Linked DNA regions of Arabidopsis thaliana. The protein of the gene in region 2 interacts with the protein of the main gene of each other region in a pairwise test. Each region holds a gene or a part of one and is shown on either strand. Other genes may lie near its edges.

Evidence for each region.
Region 1: the proteins of EIF3C (region 2) and TOR interact in binary tests that used the Arabidopsis thaliana proteins (3 or more experiments, as listed by UniProt).

The regions. Positions count from the first base shown.
Region 1 is NC_003070.9:18,536,723-18,542,009, forward strand, and holds the start of TOR (target of rapamycin), read right to left. Parts: upstream 3,274-5,287; 5' UTR 2,898-3,273; coding exon 2,733-2,897; intron 2,510-2,732; coding exon 2,171-2,509; intron 2,093-2,170; coding exon 2,018-2,092; intron 1,841-2,017; coding exon 1,668-1,840; intron 1,300-1,667; coding exon 1,201-1,299; intron 885-1,200; coding exon 725-884; intron 657-724; coding exon 513-656; intron 376-512; coding exon 206-375; intron 127-205; coding exon 1-126. UniProt on the Arabidopsis thaliana protein: Essential cell growth regulator that controls development from early embryo to seed production. Controls plant growth in environmental stress conditions. Acts through the phosphorylation of downstream effectors that are recruited by the binding partner RAPTOR.
Region 2 is NC_003074.8:20,832,826-20,839,377, forward strand, and holds EIF3C (eukaryotic translation initiation factor 3C), read right to left. Parts: upstream 4,451-6,552; 5' UTR 4,240-4,450; intron 4,050-4,239; exon of another isoform or gene 4,027-4,049; 5' UTR 3,996-4,026; coding exon 3,972-3,995; intron 3,884-3,971; coding exon 2,129-3,883; intron 1,889-2,128; coding exon 965-1,888; 3' UTR 585-964; downstream 1-584. Other genes in the region: AT3G56160 (Sodium Bile acid symporter family), read right to left, coding at 4,908-4,985, 5,065-5,166, 5,242-5,362, 5,484-5,569, 5,957-6,024, 6,209-6,230, 6,550-6,552. UniProt on the Arabidopsis thaliana protein: Component of the eukaryotic translation initiation factor 3 (eIF-3) complex, which is involved in protein synthesis of a specialized repertoire of mRNAs and, together with other initiation factors, stimulates binding of mRNA and methionyl-tRNAi to the 40S ribosome.

The DNA.
Region 1 (5,287 bases), on a different chromosome or scaffold from region 2:
ATGCCCACTGTACTACCTCGGACAATGGTAACAGGAGGCTTTGCTTGAGAATAATGGGATTTTGAAAGAACCAACGAAATGCAATCTAGAAGCCGATCTTGTACTGTTGGCAGCAAAGAAGGAATGCTGAGATACAAAGAATTGTCAGCATTAAACGTATACACATCAATGTATGTAATAACAAACTTCTTTCGTTCAACTTTACCTGATGGTTATCTGGTCAAGAGCGTCAACAAGTGTGGAAGAGAGACTAGATGAAAACATAACATCTAAAAGATCTCGAACATGAGTTTCCACTGTGGATCCCATTGCCTTTGCGATGTTACCAACACAAGCCACAGCTTCAAGCAAAGGTCTGCCTTTACGTGGAGCAATCTACAGGGACAACATAGTCGAACAAAGCCACTTGTCTAGTTCAGTTTTCAAAACTAAAACCCAATATAATACTTTGACACAAAAGTAGTAAAACGTAATTACAAAATAAATAAATAAATAAATAAAATTTGACCCACCGCATCCCGCAGATGAGACATAATTGTCGGCAAATAATGGATAAGCTCACCATCCAAAGCACCAGCCATTTCCCCAAGGGCGATGAACCCACTGGCTCTTTCAGCCGGTATTCTTAACACAGTAAGAATATGATTCATGCATATCTGCAAGAAAGTAATTCGTGTCACGTTTCCAGAAATTTTTTGGTTTTAAGAATCTCTCAGTCACTTACCGTTAAATAGTTTGTCACAAACCGGTCACGGAGAAAGTGAGCAATGCGAGGCAGTAACGAGGTGATGCTAAGGCGAACAAGGCGATCACGATGTTCAAGGTATCTGAGGACAATTTCGGCAACTTCTCTATACCTAGACATCATGAACTCACCTGTATTCCTGCAAACGAACTCTAGCATTAAGCTGTAAACTCTAACACCCAATATGCCATGAAATCAATCTGCTTATAACAGAAAACAACGTAATTTTCGTCGTCAAGAGTCTTTTGTTCAGGTATACACTGAGAGTGGAGGAATATACATGAATTGCCTACTTTTTTAATGATGTAAACTACAATACGAAGACAAACTAACAAAACAACCCGAGCATCATGGGGACAAACAAGTTGTTCTACGGAAATATTCCAGAATCAAACTTGAGTGTCTGACTAAAAGAAAGGGATGCTTTCAAAATAGATAACCACTTCTGCATTTACCTCAACAGCTCCCCCACGGCAAGTAAAGAACCATGAATACTGTGAACCGGAGCATTTCTGCCCAACCCATCCTGTGTAGCTTCAAACATTCGATAGTACCTGTAAAAGCCAAATTGAGAGAAGATCAGTTAATAAAGATGGAAACCCCTATTGATAATTTGAAACATTGCATTGGCAATGATATATATAAATGCAGTAGAAAGTCTGCAAAACGTATCACCATGGGAAGAATATATATTCGAATATCATCCATTTTGGGGGGGGGGGGGGGACCACAGCATAAAAAGCTAATATAAGTTGCATTTACACAATAAAATATACAAAGTAGTACTTAAATGAGGGTGATTGCAAATGAAAGTATTGCAACAACACAAAGAAAAGCCTTGCATCAAAAATATCATACCAAATACATAACCTAAGGAAAACATTTCAGACATTATCATTTTCAAGGATAAGAGAATACTTACCACTGCACTCGCCATCGAGTCTCCCTTTTCTCAATAACACGAAGGCATGCACGCAAAGCTTCAACAGCTCGTTCTCGCACTTGCAACTGGGGGTCCCTAAGTGCAACCCAGATAGCATCCACAAATTCAGGGACATGAACGTTAAAGACAGTAGAAGCATTTTCGGCCATCTCCTGCAATGTTGCAAGAAAACATCCATATCCGTATTAACTTAGGATTGGAAAGTTATCATCACTATCATTTTTCAAACATCTATAATCCAATTTATTAGTTCAGAAGTTTCTTTCTGAGTAACTAAAAGAAAAAATGATCTGCTTATCTAAAGGATCGGGCAGCTGAAATCAGGATACCTTTAATATTAAAACGGCGGCGAAACGACGATATTCCACCCTGTCTACGCGAAGCCAATCAAAAGCTGTTTTCATCTGTGAAAACGAGATCAAGAATTGAGCAACTATGAGCCGAGACAGTGATAGGAAGGGGAGGGAAACAAACAATCTTACCTGAAACTCCACTTCATCAGAAGTCATTGCTCCACCTGCCCGAGCAAGGTGCCCCAAAACTCTACTAGCAAGCACCAAGATTTCAGGATCACGCTTCAACTCGAACACAGTCCTCATGTAACCCGCAAATCTAGAAACCTTAGTAGCATTCTCACCAAATCCAATCTCCGTCAACTCATCAATGGCTCTGAGTGCACCCATGTTTTCCGCCACATCAGTGCTCTCAATTAAATTAGCAATCCTGTCATATAATTGCTCCATGAACCTAGAGGAAGCTTCACCACTAAGATCACGAACTGCTTCCTCTACGTGTTTCCTAAACGCTAAAGGAGCTCCCTCCTAATACAACAACCAAAAATCATAAACAAAGTCGCATACTTGATGGAAACCAACAACAATAGATCAAAACCCACAAATTGCCAGACCTATAAGAACTAAAACTTCGAATTTTCCATTAACCAGAACAGAGAGATTCCGTCAGATAAGCAATAAAAGCAAAAGGGTTATATGGGTTTCTACTAAAGCATAAAAAGGGAGAATACTTTACAATGTTCTTCATTACCTTAGGATTACCACGGCTGCAAAGGTCAGCGATGACACGATTCAAAGTGTCAAAGCTTCCGCCACCAGAAGCGGTGGCTGAGGGACCACAAAAGCGGTGCGATTGCGAAGGGGAAGCCATGGATGCAGGCCGTCCAGCCACAAAAGATTGCGACGAGGTAGACATCGCTGCAGGGCCAGTCCAGCCACAAAAATCTTCCAAAAACCCTAAATCTGACCCCTTTTTGGTTCAACAACACTTGGGCAGAGAGAGAGTATGTACAGAGGAAGATAGAAGAATCTTCAACACATGATGCGTCGAGAACCGAAGATCGCAGAAGAAATCAAGATTTTTTCTCTTATTTTTTTACAAATTCAATTCGCTGAGTGTCTTTTTAGCTTTCTTAGGTTTTGCTTTGTTCTTTCAGAGACCAATTATCTTTGGTAAATAAATTGGAAAACCCGAAAGGTTTTTACTAGGAAAATATGACTTTTTCCTTGGAAAATTGTAAAACTTATGTTTGTCTATCAAAAACTTATAAATACAATATTTTCATTTTTTTTTGTCACTGATTAATTACTTAAAACCCTGAAAGGGTCTTTGTTTGGGCTATGTAATGTTTAGAATGTTTAATATACACTTGTCAAAGAAAAAAAATTACTTGTGAAAAAAAAAATAGTCAAAAACTCATATTTGTTCACTGGACAATAGAATAACTTTTTTTGTCAAGGAATAACTTTGTAGTTTCTTGAATAAGTTTTCTTTTATTGTCATTTCACTTTATTATTATTATTTCCAATTATGCTTTTAAGCAGATAAGGAGTTTTTAAAATGATCATTAAATTGTAGGAAAATAATAAACTATAGTTTTGTTGTAATTAGTAGTCATTACGAACAAAAATAATGGGGAAAATGAAAAAATTCAATTGAATGCATATGGTTAAGTTTGTCAACAAATTAAATAAATAAGAGGAATAATATCTATACAAAAAAATATCGAATATTAGTCAAATTTTGAATAAAAAATGTCAAATAATAGTAGAATTGTAAAATAGTTGTATGGTAATCGATATATCATATATTGAAAAATTGATGAAATGTGAATCATATCATTCAGTTAATTTGAATTGTTTTTCTTTTTTTTGGTATGGAGTGGATTTGAATTGTTAGATGTGATGAAACTTTGTTTTTCTATTCATAAAAATTCTAAATCATAGAAATCATTATTTATTCTCCAATGGTAAATTTTTGTTTTGCTTGTATGTTAAGTAGTATTCATATTCATATGTATAGGAAAAACTAAAGAAATGGCTCCTCCAAAATATAGTTCGTGTTTCTCCGTTGTTACAACGAAAATAATCACAATGATTGTGTATGACAAAATAAGCATTACATTCGAAAATTAAACGAAGCACATCCAACATAAAATTTCAAAAGAGTTGTGGCTTGTGGGAGGCTATAGCATCGCTTGGTTTCATCGTACACATCAAGGATGGTGAATAGACAGGGTCCAAGTGTTAACGTTGCGCAATCCCATAACGTGACAAGAATGTCGGTGAAAATATTGGTGTTCTTTTCTCTCCAAATTAATAAACTACAACTAAGAGTACTATTTAAAAAAGAGTTAAAATGACACAAAATAACTCAATTTTTTATATCATTAACGCATTATACGTATAGAATTTAAATAATAACATATACATTTCCATATAGGATAAATAACCTCATCAAAAAAAAAGAAGAATTTTATTATTAGTTTAGACTTTTTTGTCAATATTAATTTATTAGCTTCTTAAGTTTTATATTATTAGCAAAGGATAATGATGCCAACTATATACATGCGTGCTCCAACTTTTGGGACCAATTCATCTAACCTAAGTGATAAACAGATAGATAAATTATCCACTTCTAACTATTTTCCATCAGCTTATTTCAAAATTTAAAAGCTAAATCATTTCAAATCAAAAAGGTCTTTGGCTTTTTTTTATCCACTGTTCCATTATTTCTCTCTTCCATTAAAAAAACTGCATTTTACAAGATCTTTCAGTTTTTAGAAGTAATCAAGTATCAGTGCCAAAAAAAGCTACATTAAAATCTTACAAATTACAGTATACGACGTATTCCTATTTTCAATCGTTATCTAAGTAGAAATATATTTAATAAAACGTGTGAAATGTCAATAAAACAACAACAAAATGTACATACATTAAAAAGAATTCAAGACCAGCAAAAATATATATACACGTTACTATTTAATCTCTTGATATGTTTCCTGTATAAAAGAAAAAAATCTACCATATAAACCTCAATAACGATTCCAGAAATTATATCAAAATTGTAAAAGACAAAAACATTTAACTAAAAAAATCATATAAAGGAGTAAAGAAATAAATCTATTTAGAACACTAGAAATTTCAAGGTTAAGAATCAATACATACTTAAACTAAAAAAAAACTTTTATTTACCAAAAAATAAAAAAATAAAATAAAAGAAAGAATAATATTATTTCAATTTACACATCTGGAAATTGACAGGCGATAGTTTGGTTTTTTGGAGTTTTGACCCCACAAAATCTT
Region 2 (6,552 bases):
CTTAAACTCACATTGATTGTTTCTCTATTTATCGTTCTTCGTACTTAAGCAATCATTTTTCTAGTTGACAAATACTTTTGCACGGGAGAAGGAGATGGTATCTCAGCTGGCAATAAGTTGTGGTTCAGAAATTCTATTTGGTATGTAAGCAAAGAAAAAGGACATTTAAATCATCAACATTAATTGTGCAGATTCAACATAGAGTAGAGAGAGAGTGACAATAACTAACAATATGAGTGATGTGAAGATTGCTGAGAGAATCTTTATCCGGCTCTTATGAGTCCTCCAGTCTTGATCAGCTGGCCAAAATGTTTGACGTCTCTGAGCCGCAAGTCCACAGCATTATTATCCTTTTAAGTGCAGCAGAAGAGCCTTTCACTCCACCGGATACTTCTTCAGCATCTTTATCCGGCTTTGGCAAATGCAACCATGTCACTTGTACTAGTTACTACTTAGTACTTACTACGACAAGCTTGTGTTTCTTTTTTGTATCTGTGTTTGCCATACAACATGAGTTATAATAAGATAAGAGTTCCAAAAAAAAAAAAGAATTTTCTCAACAATATTCATTGTCGCTAGCTCCACGAAAGTAGCCGATTAAATCACAGATGTTCTTGATAAGAAATTAATCAAACACTTCATCGAGAGGAAGTTACTAAGCAAACAAAGATGAAAGAGTAAAAGACATCAACAAAAACAGACCTGCAAGCATACGAGAAAAAACCTAAGCCTTCTTCTTTTCAACAAGAATGACGCATAAAAAAAAACTTATTAAACTTTCCAGTAAAGCATTCTTAAAAGTCTTTTCCAACAACTGCCAATATCACAAAGAAAATAAACAATCACAATGCGAGAAAATGTGATGAACATCTCTTAGAAAGAACCATTTGATAACCAAAAGGAATCCAAAACATAACAAAAGGTTGAGACTAAGGTCAACACTGCAGATTTCTCCTCATCCTCTTTAAGTACGAACACCTCGGTTAAGACTCACCATACGGCTTGAGCCATCCATCTGCATACCTCTGTTTCCTGAACCAACTCTTCCTGCATACCCTCCTCCTCGGTTCTGCCCTGACCACTGACCATTTTGTCCAGATGATCTTCCTCCACCATAACCTGATCTGTTGCCTTGTCTTCCTTGTCCGTAATTCGCCTTGTCTTGCCAATATCCACCACCACCTGATGCTGCTCCTGCATAGTCCTGATTGTTGTCCCTTCTCCTTGAACTCAGATCCAGACCACCTCCACCGGTTCTAGATTCCATTGCCCTCTCATTGCTTTCTGCCAAAATCGAGAGTTTCTCCGTTAACTGGAAAGCCAATGATTGTAATCTGCTGTGTTGCACTTCATGGAAGACGATGCATCGTGTTGGCTGATCCCAGCTTGCATGCAGTTCCTCATTAATCATCATCTTACTCACAATGCTGTGGACCTGCGGCTCAGAGACGTCAAACATTTTGGCCAGCTGATCAAGACTCAAGGACTCATAAGAGCTTGAGTATGTGAATAGGTAAGTCCTTAGAGCCTCTTCTTTGATCCTATCCTTCACCATGTCAAGGATGCTGTCACGGTTCTTGAGCAGCCTCCAGACCTCAAGAGAGTTCAAAACTTCAAACGCCTTCTGGAAATCTCCTTTGGTCAGGGCTCTGGTGGCTGCCATGACATGGTCACGTACATTCTCAGGCGGTGCAGTGAATGCTTGCCTTTCACTGATCTCGAGCAGGCGGCGGAAATTCTTGCTAATCACTCTGCGTTTGGCATCGTGCGAGTTTGCAGCCATGTTTGGGACTTCAAGAAGCATGGCACAGATGAGATGAACTGCCTCCAGAAGCTCAAGGTTTAAGTGCATGTGGTACGGCATTTGTCTTCTCCTTTCCATCCTTTCCTGGTAAATCAAGAAATAAACCAAGAAAGTTTTATATCACATATAAATAAACTGAACGAAAAACATAACCATAAGCATCCATGTTGAAATAGAGAAAATGGATTGTGTGAAATGAAACAAAATGAAGAACCCAAAAATGCAACAGTGTTTGTAATCATGTCTCAATCAGAACTATCTGGTCAAACAATTTTTTTTCAATCCTATCTGTATTAAATCTAAAAACAGAAGATAACTAGTTACCTGCTCCGGGGTTTTCTCATGGTATCGGCTTTGCGAGACACCTTGGGCAAGCAACTCTCTCACTCTTTGACCAGAGTACAGCTCGGAAAGGCAGCTATGGGACTCAGTGATCATTCCAGCCCGGAAGGCGCAAAGACCAAGCTGCGCCATGGTCCTGTTAAAGAGAATCTGTGTTGAGATGTCCATGTGCTGGATGTTGTCTTGCAGATGACTCATCAGCAACAGGTCTCTAGCAGTCACAAAGTTGTCCATTAAAGCATGGTGATTGATATCACATAGCATCGCACGCGCTTTGGTCCGCTCATCTCCATTTCTGTAGATAAGGGACACAAGAATATCCATCATAGCTCGGCTGCTCTCTGGGAAGGTAGGCTTACGGGGAACAACCTCCGGAACAACAATAAATGAAGTAGGAGGTCCACTTTCCTCTTTGGCCTCCTCAGTTTCTTCTTCTTCTTCCACCAACTCAGCCAATTTCCTCATTGCATCATAAACTTCCTGGGGCTTGTAGTATATTGCCTCAACACGTCTTAAGGCTACCTTTGCAGCAGCTTTAAAATCACCCATCCGCTCAAAGTAGTCCTGGATGTTCTGAGCAAGGGCCAAGAACATGGGCTCATCCCTTAGCCTCTCAACATACTCACGGGTGTGAGGATCAATGCATTGCAAACTCTTGAAAAACTCAGTGTCAACCCTCTCCAAGAATGCAACCAAATTTCCCCAGACCCGAATTTTTCCATCATAATCTGTTGGCTTTGAAGTTTCGTTCTCATCAGGCTCAACTGTGTCATCCACAACAATGTTACTGTACTTGACGAGAATGTCCAGTATGGTGAGCATGTTAAGCACGCATTTCTTCCAGACATTGATAGGCATGTGCCCGCTGAGACCTGGATTCACATCAAACTGAGCCGAAATAACGCTAAACAAGATTTCAAGCTTCTGTGCAGGAGTCTTGGCAATCTTTGTCAAGTGCGTAAGCTGATCAACTAGCTCAAATCGAGCAGTGCCCTTTTTTCCACGAGCAGCCACAATTTCCTTGAACTTCTTGTTGACCCAGTCCCAAGTGATCTCTTTAGGATCTTTATTCATTAGCTTCTCCAAAAGCTTATCTTTTTTGCTCAGCATCTTCTCCCAAGTGAGATTATCAGTAGGTTCATCCACATCGGACCCAGGATCTACGGTAGGTCCGTCGATGGAAGAATCATCATCATCTTCAACCTCATCATCATCATCGTCATCATCATCATCATCTTCAGGTTGTTTCTCTTCCTCAACTTCTGGAGCCTCACGATACTTGTTGATATCGTCTTCGTACAACTTATTGTTCTTCTTCAATTTCTGTTTCATTGAGTTCAAAGCCTTGGAGTTACTAGTACTCATCTTCTTCTTGGCTTCCTTATTGGCAAGAGCTTCATTCAAGAAATCCTCCAACATAACAAGCGTCTTGATATACAAGGTAGGAGGCTTCACAGCCTCAGTAATCCTCATAACCTTCTCAAGCTGTTTGTTAACCTTATCAAAGTTTTCTTGAAGGCTGACCCAATCATTGATCTTCATAGCATTCTTCATCTGATCAACAGTGTAGGTCATCTCCTCAAAACGTTTATCCTTAGCAGGCTTAACCACACGTTTCGTATCAGTATCATCATCATCCTCACTACCACTTTGAAGGTAACGGTTATTGACGTCATCATTCTGAACCTCATTAACCTCTACCTCATAATCACTTTCATCTTCACTTTCACTTCCAACCTATCAACATAACAAGTAAAAATCATTCAGAAACTGAAGCAAGTAAAGGTAAAGAGAGTTTATAAACAAGAGGTCTGTTGAAGGAAACCTGAGTGAAAAAACGAGACGTCATCTTTTTAGCTGGAAGCGTAAGCAACAAGAACCTGATACACCAAAAGTAACAAATCTGAATAGTGAATCAGAGGAACGAAATTATAAGTAAAACAAACCAATCCATTCGAAGAACATAATCTGAACGAAACAATCGTGTCACAGATACAGACTCGTATCAACAAAGAATTAGAATCGATTCGAATCAATCTACACCAAACTAGAATCGAAAATTTGTTACGCTAGATGATGAGGAACAAAATTACCTGAATTCAGAAGATGGAGATGGAGATGGAGATTTGCGAAGGAGATGCTTGAGGAGGATTACGAATCTAAACAAAAATGGTGTGTAGCCGTCCAAGCATTTTGGTCGAGATGAAAAAATATATAGAATTAGGGTTTCGTGATTTACTCACTAAACCGGATTCGATTTGATTCTATTTCCATACCGAAACTGAAAACCGAGGACAATTAAAACGCTCTCGATCGGTTTTTATTTTATTTACAAACCGAATTGGTCGAACCAGGACTAAATGAAATTGTAGTGATGGTTAGTTCAATTAAATTGAGAAAAGAACCGGTTCTTAGTCCTCTTTCCTAGCTGCTTATCAGACAGATTACATATGAATTGCTTTGTACGCTGGTAACGTCAAATGACTAAATGTTTTCAAATATAGATACAAGTTTTTTTTTTACATAGTTTCATAAATCATACAAATTGGATCAGCAAACACCGACCGGAATCTCTAGAGCATATACATACAGAAAGAGAGAGAGAGAGAGAGATGGTCAATGATCAACTAAGCTTTGGTGATTGGAAAGATATCAAAATCCCCAGTCTTGCTGCTATGTATATAACTGACATTCAGTGTGTTTAGGATGTAACCTTCTCCACAGCATTGGTTTCATTGCTTTCTATCTCTCTCTCTCTCTCTCAAGCTGTCTTTACTTTAGTCGAAGTATCTTTTCCTCTCCGGAGCCATAAGTTGACAAGAACTGAATCAATCATGATCTGTAACATTCCAGATTTACGTCAATAATTTATAAAATTATGCACACAAGTACATGATGATTATAATACAATTTGTAACCTGGTTCAGGTGTGCAGCTACACAAGGAAGAACCAATAGCCCTGTCTCACCAAATGCACCTCCTAATTGCTCTACTACCGCCACCATTACCGGTAATGTTTTCTATGCCACCACAAGAAAAGAACTCCCAAATTTAAGAGATCAAAATCGGTTCTAAAAGGCAAACTCTATTATTACCTGGCTTGAAACGAGCAAAACTGCAGTGCTGTTTTCCTTGGAGCTCTTGCTACCACCTGTAAGACCGGAGAGGATGCGGATTGAAACAGCATTGAATGCTAGTAGAGAAAGATGCAGCAATCTGTAAGAAGACGTAAGAATCTTCTGTCAAACGTAATCCGCATTTCTAACACACAAGCCAAATATTTCCATGAGCTTCTTCACTTGGTATCTTTTCTATATGTTAAAAGAAGAATGCGTACATTCCAATGCCAACTGCTGCAAGGAAAACCTTAGGTTGAACGGATAGTAGCAGTGATCTTGACCTGCTCACTTGGATCCATGGCACCTAGAATATTAATCATGGAATAAACACTATTAAGTTCCCAAAATAACCAGGTAAATGCAATAACAAAGTCAGACCAGTTGAAGTAGCCAGGGAAGCAGAGGTTAAACTATAAAAAGGAAAAAAGTATTAAGTCCTTCTATCTCCAAAGTCATAACCGTGACTGCAAATATGGTTTTTGCAATTTAGTAAAAGCTTTGGATTGGCACATCAATGCCACGGAATGTTGAAATCCCAAGCTATCATACAAGAAAAGAGAAAGTTTTAAGTACAGGCATCTAAAATGCCAAGTTTAAGATTCCTGCAACAAAGCAAAACTCCAAGGATATGACTTCAGAAAGTTATTCAAGGGGTGTAGAAATTACGGGAGACTAACATTTCATATCTTACCAAACTGAGGCAGATTGCGTTGATTTTCGAAAAGAGTTTACGGTTATTGTCAACAAAGTTTGCGAAACCTGTATCACACATTTCAACAAGAGTTTCAACAAGGTCAGAAAGTAGGCAGCGATAAGCATATATATTTATTATAAACAGAACCATTTTGATCCATTGTCACGATAAAGTGACTGCTAACTATTTAAAATGGTATGTATTCAATTACTTTCACCAGAGAAGTAAAATATAACAAATGGCGCTCACCTTTGAATGATTCTCGAATAACCTATAACAGAAGAAACCAAGTATGTCAAAGCTCGATTTTAAAAACGTGTGCAAAATGGCAAGTGATAGAACTTCATGCTGAAATGACTGTTTGTGAAAGGTTCATATAAACATCAGGGAAAGTAACAAATAATAGAGAGTAAGCTTTCTTCATTTTCAAATGAGCCACGCAACAACCCTATTATAATTTCCAATAAAGTATTCACATATCTTTTGGCAACAACCACCTCTGCAAATTTAGCTTTCACAATTGTACCGTATATCAGAATTTATATTGATTCATCATTGCAAGAACAGGACAAACAGAAAGATTGTCTCACCTT